3 linked regions of the Xenopus tropicalis genome follow. The protein of the gene in region 3 purifies or fractionates together with the protein of the main gene of each other region. This does not show direct contact. Links are inferred from orthologs where the notes say so. Each region holds a gene or a part of one and is shown on either strand. Other genes may lie near its edges.

Evidence for each region.
Region 1: the proteins of cttn (region 3) and flna purify together in Homo sapiens (affinity purification with mass spectrometry; 3 studies listed by BioGRID and IntAct, with this or other methods). This does not show direct contact. The link is inferred for Xenopus tropicalis from reciprocal best matches to the Homo sapiens genes CTTN and FLNA.
Region 2: the proteins of cttn (region 3) and asap1 purify together in Homo sapiens (affinity purification with western blotting; 6 studies listed by BioGRID and IntAct, with this or other methods). This does not show direct contact. The link is inferred for Xenopus tropicalis from reciprocal best matches to the Homo sapiens genes CTTN and ASAP1.

The regions. Positions count from the first base shown.
Region 1 is NC_030684.2:31,756,462-31,760,634, forward strand, and holds the start of flna (filamin-A), read left to right. Parts: upstream 1-1,346; 5' UTR 1,347-1,481; intron 1,482-4,173. UniProt on the Homo sapiens protein: Promotes orthogonal branching of actin filaments and links actin filaments to membrane glycoproteins. Anchors various transmembrane proteins to the actin cytoskeleton and serves as a scaffold for a wide range of cytoplasmic signaling proteins.
Region 2 is NC_030682.2:142,077,344-142,080,998, forward strand, and holds part of asap1 (arf-GAP with SH3 domain, ANK repeat and PH domain-containing protein 1), read right to left. Parts: intron 2,997-3,655; coding exon 2,927-2,996; intron 2,759-2,926; coding exon 2,700-2,758; intron 2,411-2,699; coding exon 1,908-2,410; intron 1,759-1,907; coding exon 1,636-1,758; intron 953-1,635; coding exon 878-952; 3' UTR 1-877. UniProt on the Homo sapiens protein: Possesses phosphatidylinositol 4,5-bisphosphate-dependent GTPase-activating protein activity for ARF1 (ADP ribosylation factor 1) and ARF5 and a lesser activity towards ARF6.
Region 3 is NC_030680.2:14,584,584-14,587,575, reverse strand, and holds the end of cttn (src substrate cortactin), read right to left. Parts: intron 2,032-2,992; coding exon 1,895-2,031; 3' UTR 543-1,894; downstream 1-542.

The sequences.
Region 1 (4,173 bases), on a different chromosome or scaffold from region 3:
ACGAAAAAGTTGCAGAAAATACGCTCAAAGCGTTCGTGTTTTAATAAATGTCCCCCCTAGAGTTGCACAGAGCATAGAACTGATAGTAATTACAGGGTACTCTTAAGCAGGTGGCCCCCAGTGGGGAAACTACCATACAGCAGACCCTGAGACCGCAGGGGAGCCTGGGGAGGGGCCTGGACAGTGGCAGGGTTCTATATATGGCACCACCAACTCCCCATCCCTTGAGCTTCCAGGACTGTTATGGGGTGCAGCTAAGCATGAAAGCCATTTTTGACTTGTGCCAAGTAATTTAGGCGCTAGTGATGTCCTATCTCACTTCATTGCCAAAAAAAAATCACGAAATGGCAAAAATTCACAAAATTGAAGTCAATGGGTTTTGATGGGCATTTTTTTGGCAGAAATAACTTTGCTCATCTCTATCAGGCACTAGTGACATCACTAATGACGCCATTATTCCAAAGACCCAATAAGGAAACCATGCCCTGCCTAGGGATGTTGCTATTATGATGGAATTTTAGGAGGAAGCACTGCAGGAAATAAACATGGCAGATAGCCAGTGGCCTCGATAGTTGCTGGGCATCACAGCAAAATGATTTTAGCCCTCCTTCTCCAAAAAGCGTTTTATCAGTCAGTGCCCCCTAGCAGTGGTACGGTCTGTGTCTGTATAGCCCCGCCCCTGCGGATACCGAGCTCAGTCGTTTGATCTACGGGCAGGCGAACAGACACATTTATGTACATTGTTGCCTCCCTTTGCGCCCCCCGGGCAGCGTATCCTGAGCAGCCCCAGTGTCAGGAGCAGAACATTAACCCTTCTGGGGCGCCACAAGGGGAACTCATGCCAAGAAAGCAAGTTCCAACCGCTGCTCTTTTACATGGGATCGGGGATGAAATACTCCCTCTGTTAAGGCACATTTCGTGGAGCAGAGCGGTGACTGCTAGTTGCCACCCAAAGATGTTCTGCAGCAGCTGCAATGTTTACTGTAGGGGAGAGAGATCTCCAAAAATGAATGAAATGAGCTCAGATCTGCGGTAAAAAGCCTACAATCACTGTCCTGATACTGAGAAGGGTTCTGCCTGGGGGTTATCTGCTTATCAAGGAAGCCCCCCCCCCCCCGCACCTCAGCCGGGCAGAAGGGGTTAAATTCCTAAGGAGCAGGCATCCCGTTTTCCCCCTCTCTGCCTTGAGGCTGTGCAGAAATTCAGGCTTCTGAGAAAATGAAGGCTGACCTCATCCCAAAGCTTAAGGGGGGGGCGGGGTTCCTAACAAAACTCATCCTCCACCCCCCCCCCCCCCCCCCCCCTTTCTCTTTGCTATTTTACCAATTAAGGCTTTCTCAATCTGAGAGGGAGAGAGGAGAGACAGATCAAGGGGGTGTCATTCTATTGACAGGACTACTTGCGAGGCATTCCCCCCTGTACAGAGCAGGACACAGGCTCAGCTGCTCTCCTCTATAGTTTGGGACTCACTGAAGGCAAAGGTAAGGGGGGGACCCAGGCAGCTGAACTGCTCTTCTCTCTGTGTGTGTGTGTGTGGCTTACCTGTGCAGTGTAGGGTTTCTGAACATGTTGTCCCTTCTTTTGGTGCCTACTTTAATGCTGTAACAGGGCTGCAACTTGTATGTCTGACACTGACTGAGTGGGCTGCCTGCACATTGTGTTGACTTTGTTACTTGTATGTCTGACATTGTGGTGCCCTTTGTTTGCTATTTGTGTGTGTGAGGTATAGAAAGGTGCCTGCACATTGTGGTGCCCTTTGAAGATGCCTACACTTGATGTGACCCCATTTATATGTGTGTTTATATTGTGGAACAAGTACATACTGTACTGCTTCATTGGGCTGGTGTATATGGCAGCCGCATACTGTTGGCCCCTAGATGTGCCTATGAGAGCCCCCTGCAGTTTATTGCTGTGCCAGGGTTGCACTGGATTCTGCACTACCTGCACAATGTTGCACCTTAGGTGTGTCGCTGCTGTGACAGTTCTGTGATTGCTGTATAAGTTGCGTGTTGTTGGAACCACTCTACCCCTCATGGCTGGGACAGCTTTGGATACTTCCTGCACATTGTCTTTCTGCACCTAATAGTTGTAACAGTTGTGCTTTGTGTATGTTGGACCGTCTCTAAAGTTTATTACTGAGCTGCCAGAGTGCTTGTTCTGTACTGGGAGCCGGTATGAGAACAAGGGGTGTGGAGGCTGCCGGATAAGGCTGCATTCAGGCGATAGTTTCTGTGAGCCGGGAAAGTGTTTTTAGTGCCTGCATGCACTGGATTTATATGTACTGCTTGGCAACGAGGCTGCAGGGCACAACAAACAAACTGGGAAAAAATACCTACAATTTGCTGTTGTTTCTCAAGACAAAGAGTTCAGCTGGTGACAGTGGCATTGGCAGCACTTTGTGTCCCTTCTGTGACAGCAAACAGTTACTCTATTTATTACTGCCTGGTTTTGACTCCTAAAACATTTAGCTGACAGACTTGGAGGGGATCTGACTTCTACAACACTGTTTCAAGAGTCAGAACCAAACAACAGAAAAGGATAAACAAATACTGCATTTCTCTTAATGCCAGTAAATAATTCTGTATCCTACAATTAACTGCCCCTTTCTTTTACTCTATGGCAAGTGCTTATCTCCCTGGGCATCTTAAGCTGACCATACACGTACTGATAAAATGGTATGAATCCTAGTTTTGTATGATTTTCAGACCGTGTGTGGGCTCAGAATTGTCGCCCTGATAATTCTCTTACTATGGAGATCAGTCGTTTAGCCGATCGGCCGGGTTAGAAAATATTGGTTGCAAAACGATAAAATCTGCACGTGTATTGTGTATCTGACGATATCCTTTGGTTTTAGATCGTTGCATTTAAACGTACGAATGATATGCCTAATCTTTGCCCATACCTTCCTCATTGTGAGTGCACCCATGCAGAATGATGTGCCTCCTGCTGCAACATATAAGCCTGTTAGTCACCAAGTTTCCTGACCATATAAAGATTTTAAGGCAATAAGTGAACTCATAATATCATTATATCACCTTAAGTTTTGAGCATGCACTAATGCATACCTTTAAAGGCTTAAGGGCACTGAATACAAATGATGACATCACCAAGTATAGGGAATAATGCACCCCCTGTTGTAAAACATAAGGATATTAGAAGTCATCAAAGAAACAATGAGCTATAGGTCACAGAACTTTTTCTAATATCCTTATATTTTACTACAGCGGGTACAGTATTTTGTATAATACAAACGTTGCAGTGTCACTCACTGTAACCGGCAGCACTAATTACCCTCCTGTTTGTGTTACCTTCCCATTTAGATCATAAGCTCTATGGGGCAGGGACTTCCACCCTCTTGTCTCTGATTCTTAACTTATTGCAACTGTACCTATTTATTGCATTATCTATTATTGTAATGACCCCCCTGTTTTATTATATTGTATTTAATTGTTGTTTTGCTGTACAGCGCTGCATACATAAGTAGCGCTATATAAATAAAGATATACATACATACACAAACAACATCACTAAGCACCGATTATATCTGAAAACATCACTAAGCACCATTTATAAAGGTATAATTCATGGCTTTTAAATATCATGAATAGAAATTGTTCTGCTGCCCCCAGTGACATAAGGATGCGCAATAGAACCACTTACCTCTGAGAAAAAATGGTTGATAGGTCACTGTCCTTAGCTCTTTTGGATAGGCATTATCACTTAACAGTGTATGGTGGGATATGTTACTAGATACTCGGCATTACTATATCGTAGTCTGGGTTATGTGTCTGGTAAAATTTGAGGGTATGTATTAGTACATGCTCAAAACTTAATTGCTAATATATATATACAGTATAAATGGGAGCTGCCACATTGTTTACCTTTGCAGTTCGGTTAATGTGAACATAGACTCTTATGATAATAATGTCATTGCCATCATACATACAGAACTACAGAATCCCAAGAGGTGGTAAAGCCCTTAACCCCTTCAGTAGACAGCGGCCGTGCCTGCGCCAGTAGCATCATATTGTTGCAGGAAGAAGTTATGGGGAAGATAAACTTATCTTGCAGGAAACATTGTATTTAAAGGACTGTGTTTATGCTCTATAAACATGTCTGAGTGCAGGAACCGCCATAGAACTGCATCAAAGACATACAAAGCTCCCATACGAA
Region 2 (3,655 bases), on a different chromosome or scaffold from region 3:
ATAAAGGAAATGCTAATTGTACATAACCGCGGTACTAATGATATTTATTACTGAGAGAGGGCTCGACGCCATATTTAACACTGTCTGTTCCATGTGGCTATTCACATGGGGGGGAAAAAATAGAATCTCTGCGATGGCCCGTGACTCCCCCCGTTGGCCCCATTTAGGGCTACAATGAAATTCCTGTTTCCGTAAAGGCAGGTTCAAGTATGCCGGAATCGGGTAAGAAATGCATGCATAATGTAAACAGACTAATATCGCTCTCATTCGTCTGAGTCCGACCAAACAAACCGCAAATGTCATTTAGAGATATATATATGTGTGTGTGTGAGTGTATATATATATTTATATATGTATATCCTTCTAACAAAAGAAGTCTTTAGATAGAAATATAGCTTTTGTTTTCTGTACTACTTGTAGCAAAGTAACGGCATGGAGGCGGCCAATGACAGGGAACAGACACAGGGCACATTAATACCATCAATAATTAAAATCTACGTGGAATTCTGCCATTGATACAATAAATACCTAGAGTCACTGGTTGTGTTCATACAGGGGGGGGGCTTGTTGGCAGGTCCGGGCAATGGAGAAGCGGTTTCCCCGGCAGATATATAGTGTTGAACGGAGACAGCCCAGATGGGGAATGTTGGCAGGGATGGATCACAGCTTGCCCAGAGGCCACGGACGGCTTCCAAGTGTCCCCCTTGGGCTACTGTAATACTGGCAAAGGCAGAAGGACGTTGTACACTGACAATACACATATAGAGTTCAGCACAAGATGAAGGTTTGGGATGAAATGGACTGTGTAACAGCAGCTTATATACACAGAGTGGAGCACAGAGCGGATTGCAGCGGGGGGGCAGATATGCTTTGCTTATTATTCAGTCAACAGGTGGACGAAGGACACAGGGAATACTCCTTTCCTGTCCGGGAAGCCTTCGATGTGCCCAATCTGCAGTAAATACACAAAATGAGATGATTAATAGACAATCACAAATACGGACATAATTAGCAAACTGCTTTCAGCTAAACAATTGTTTCTCCTACTCCCATGTAACTGGTGGAGTCCCAAGCCGGACTTGGATTTCTTTTTATTGAGTGCTATTCTGATACCTACTGGGAGCTGCTATCTTGCTCCCTTCCCATTGTTCTGCTGATCGGCTGCTGGGGGTGAGAAGGGGGGGGGGGGGGGATATCACTCCAACTTGCAGTGCAGCAGTATAGTGTGCCTGAGTCTGAGCTTTCAGAAGGAGGCAGTGCTACACATTAGAACTGCTTTCAGCTAACCTATTGTTTCTCCTACTCCCATGTAACTGGAGGAGTCCCAAGCCGGACTTGGATTTCTTACTATTGAGTGCTATTCTGATACCTACTGGGAGCTGCTACCTTGCTCCCTTCCCATTGTTCTGCTGATCGGCTGCTGGGGGGGAGGGGGGATAGCACTCCAACTTGCAGCGCAGCAGTAAAGTGTGCCTTAGTCTGAGCTCCCTTCCCATTGTTTTGCTGATTGGCTGTGGTGACTGGTGGTAGTTACAGTGCCAAACCCGTAGCTATTCCTTTAGCCACAGCTTATATACAGCAGTATCATAGAATTATCCCACCCTATAGTGTATCTCATGGTTACAGGATACTCACCCACCACTCCTGGTCCTCCTCTCCAGTGACGATAATCACTTCCCCCTCCGCAAATGTGAGTTCATCATCATTGTCCGCTTGGCAGTCGTATATTGTTTTAACTCGTTTAAGCTTATTCTTCCCCTTTAAAAGAAAAAAAAAAAGTCAGTTTGTTCCGGACAATGATGCTGTTCTAGATCTTCAACCTGGGTTGTAGGGCACCTCATTGCTATGATTATTGATTGTGATTTATCTGCACATTTTACGAAATGCTGACTAAGCACAGAACTTACTGTGTTTATCTTTCGGGGAAGTGGCACGGGTGTTTCTGGAAGAGGCGGTGGGCCATTATTGGAAGTTTCTGGAACTTGCTTCTGGACAGGGGTTTGGTCCGTGGGCTGTGCATTATGGGTCGCATCCACCGGCTGGGAATTTTGATTGGCCTCATTGGTATGAGGTTTGGGGACTATATCCGCAACAGGAGTTTTGCACATCACCTCTGCCAGGTTGGGCTTGGGCGGAAGATCTTTCAGCTGTGGCTTTGGAGGTAAATCTTGCGGTTTCGGGGGCAAATCTCCTAGCTGAGGTTTAGGAGGCAATTCTCCGGGCTTGGGAGGTAGATCTCCGACGTGTGGTTTCTGGGCGATATCCAAAGGCTGCGGTTTCGGAGGAAGATCTGCAATTTGTGGCTTCTGAGGCAGATCTCCAGGCTGGGGAGATTTCTGGAAGATTTCGGGTTGCTGGTTATACTTATCCATTGAGAGATGATGAGTGGTGTCTATTTTCCTAAGTGCCACTTTGGGGACAAACAAAGAAGGATAATGAGACATCTCAGAAACAATCACTGTATAGACAATTAGCCTTTATCCTATTTTACATATGAGTATCACTCATGTATTATAAGGGATAATGTACCCCCTACTGTAAATGATAAGGATATTAGCAGTCACTGAGGGGTTCTGTGCCCATATAAAGGCACAAGGCTGACGGCTGAGTTATATTATAAGGGATAATGTGCCCACACACATTTTACATATAAGACACAGGAAGGAAAGGAGGAGAAGACAAACTGTAGAAAGACTAACCTTTCTGAGGTAGTTTTGGTAGGACTCTTGGGCCTAATGCAGTCTTTGTTGTTCCTGTGCTAAAATAACAAATTAAACATAAAAGTACAAATTATATATATGTTTCCAGGTTCCTCTCCACAAAGAAAAACATTTCCTGCAAAACAAACTGAATTATTCTTCATCTTTTTACTCTCTGACTAAAGTGAATGAGACCCTCAACTTAAAACCAGATGTTAATGACTTACCCTGATGACTGTGACAATCTCTCAAACTTATTTAGAGTTCTGTCTGCAGCACTCGGGCCCAAGTCATTACCTGCCGGAGATAAATATACATAAATAAATATTTTATAAATGTAAAACTGACCACAAAAAGAGTATCAGCCAAAATGGCCTTTAGAGAGGGAATATACAGTATTTATAAGCAGGGGTATCTTACTGAAATGTTTTCTACATGACCTTATCCCCAATAGAGGTGCTAGTTTTATTCCAGCAGTATGGCAGCTTTCATGCTAGTATATTTGTCTACTTAATGACATAGGAATGGGAAGACACCCCTGCAGGTAAATAATGTATATTGTGCCGGCGATTGCCTGAAAGCAAATTTGCAATAAAATAAAGGCCTTAGAGAAGAGAGAGCAGCAAGCTGGAAAAGAAAGACAGAAGAATATCCCAGTGTTTCTGCTGCTGACAATTATTTTAAATAACTACTGCTCCCAGAATCCTTAGCTGAACCGTGCAACTCACAGGAGCCATTGGGCTGCAACATACAGATCGCTGGCTTTAACTGTTTCTCTTTGATTTAGAATGAAAGCAACATAGATACTAACAGATATATACTTTGTGTGTGTGTGTGTGTGTGTATATATATATTCTCCTTCGGGAAGCACTCACGGTATTTGTGAAAAAAAGCGAGTATTTATTTACACAAAAATGTCTACGCGTTTCGATCCATATAGGATCGTCATCAGGACC
Region 3 (2,992 bases):
GCAGAGCAATCGTTTGGTTGCACCCCCCACTACTACTGCAGTTTCCCGCCTTAACCCTTTCTGCCCTGCTGCCCCTCACATTGGGAATGCCCTCCCTGATTTCCTCCGGAGAGAATCCTCCCCCAGTCTTTTTAAAACCAAACTAAAAGTCTCCCTTTTGGAGCACTCGCCCAGCCCCTGATCTGGGAACTGGCACTTATATTGTAATGTCACCCACTGTGACCTACAGCACTTATATTTGCCCATTTGTGTGTGTAAGTTACCCTCCCATATAGATTGTAAGCTCTACGGGGCAGGGACCTCCCATCCTGCTCTCTCCTAGTCCCTTCAATACGTTATTTTAGCCAATAGTACAGCCACATTCCTTGGTATATCACATGTGTGGTGCGCAGTTTAAAGGGGAAGTTTACCCAATATAACTTTTTTGCATAATGAAAGAAAATATAATTCCAAGCAGCTTTTTAATATATCTTACACTATAAGTGCGCCCTCAATATGGCAGCTCCCACGTCTATATCAATCTGTATGTATCGCCCGTATCATGGTTGGAAAAAAAAACTTTATTGAAGCATCATTTACAAAATCATACATGAAGTGCTGTATGCAAAAAACAGATAAAAGGAACTAAGGATAAAAAAACCCACCCACGTTTATGTATTTCACCCCCCCAAAAAGAAATCACCCCTACTTGGCGCACACCGCCCTCTACCGCACCAATTAGTATCAGCCTAAACATTGGTCCAAAATCTAATGTGGAACAAGAGCACAACCTGCTGGTGATTGGTTGAAATGGCCAGCAGGGGGCACTGTTGTCCCAAATTCATTATAGAAGCTGTTAAAAAAAACTGCTAATATTTTGAAAACTAGAAGAAAATGTAAATTGCAAAGAAAAATTTACAAGACCTTATGGCCATATTTGTAGGGCGACACGGGACAGTGTAGGTGATTGGGCAGCCCTTTGGGGGAGCCAAATCTTCTTTCTGAAATGGTTCCCTGCCAACAGGAAAAGCCTAATGGGAGATGCACGGGTTGTCATAGTAACCAGGAGTCCAGGCGTGTCACTTCTGCCCTAAAAGCTCAGCAGGAGCACCATATGGCGTGTTGATAATACTGACGGGTTTCTGTTGGGTATAATGGGCAAAGGGATGGGGGGTTGTTAAATCAGGGGAGGAGCTTGGGACAACAAGTGCATGTCAGCCAATCACAGCCTGATCCGGTTCAGTTTGCTTAAAAAAAGGCAGAACGCACAGTATGTTTTTTTGTCGGCAAATACGCATGATGCTAATTTGGTCACGGTAAAGGCCAAGCTAAGAGCAAAAAAAACAGGACAAATAAATTTAAATTTGGGGGGTAACGAGGGGCGTCTCCTTGACCATCCCAGTAAGGCGGCTCAATTGTAGAATGTTGTGTATTTGGGGGTCGTGTCCCAGGGGGTAAGAATTATGGGGGAGACAGAAGAACCACCCACTGATTACAATGAATGCAGGTGAGACAAAAGAAACGAGAGGCGGAGCCTCAGTCGGGCGCTGCGGAAACAATGGAGAGAGAACCGAAACCCCCCGGCGCTGAAACAGCACCATGTAAAAAGATGTAAAAAGATTTGTCCAATGGAGCGGAGGCACATCTGGCAGCGAATGGGTTAATAGTCATTAAAAGAATCGTTTGCCCGTCTGCAGAATAAACTGCTCCTTAAAAGCCAGAAAAAAAGCTATTTGAAAAAAAAAAAAAAAATCTAAACCCTCTCCAAAAACTCATGATTTGTAGTGTAAGGATCCAGCTTAGTTATGGCAACGCGAGGCGCAGGGGGAGGAGCCTGCAATGTAGCCATTCATGGGGCAATGCCGCTGCGTTGCACCTCCCCCCCCGGCTAACGATAATGGCGGCATTGGGCGCCTTACTGACGAAGCTCCACGTAATTGGCCGGGAACAGACCGTAACACTCCTTGCAGAAACCTCTCCACCAGCCGTCATCGATCATCTCGATGTTTGTGATAATGTCATCGGGGTCGAAGGAGATCTCGTCGTCGCCGGCTGGGGGCAAAAAAGCAAAGTCGTGAGTGGCTTTCTCCCATGTGATTGTCTCCCTGGTTGCTAGGTTAAACTGGACCGTAGCAACATACTAAAACCCACTTACACGGCAGCACCGTGCACAGGACAAACCCCCCTATAAAACAAAAGGTACAGCCAGCCATGAAAGAGTTACAGGAGGATGCACGGCCGCCCCGTGCTCTTATAAAAGGTCAGAGAATGGCAGTGGGACTGCAACTGCCGCCTGATGTACAGTTGGCCGGGGATATTGATCTATGAACTGTCTGCTCCACTCATACAAACCTTCTACTGCCTGACATTTCCACACTGCCCTTTGCATGTTCCATAGGAGCTCAGCATGGGGGGGGGGGAGGCGCCCGTAGCAACGCAACAAGAGAATGGGATGCAATCAGGCTGAAATGGGCAGGAAAAAAAAGGCAAAATGAGTGAAGGTGGGGGAATGTACCAAGGGATAGGGAGGAGCAGACATATCCCTTTGCCCAATGAATAAACCAGACAGGTGTGAAAAGGAGACGCTAAATGCATCTGATTGGCCCAAAAATAAAGCCCTTTAGTGATGGAAAGTAGGACGACTATGTCTGGGACTCTGCATTTTCCTGCAGCTACAGAGGGGGGGGGCTGTTACACGGGCCAAGGCAATCTTGTTATGGGCTGAGAGGGGCCCAACCAAATACTGAACAGACAATAACCTCCTCAACCCAAAAGTCTAAAAACCTTTCTTATACCTATTGAGCAGAAGCGGAGTTGTCCTTCTCAGCTGGAAAAGGAAGGGTTATTAATCTATCCCAGAGCAGCTGTGCCATGATTGGAGAGGAAAGGGTTACTAATCTATCCCAGAGCAGCTGCGCCATGATAGGAGAGGAAAGGGTTACTAATCTATCCCAGAGCGGCTGTGCCATGATAGGAGAGGAAAGGGTTACTAATCTATCCCAGAGCGGCTGTG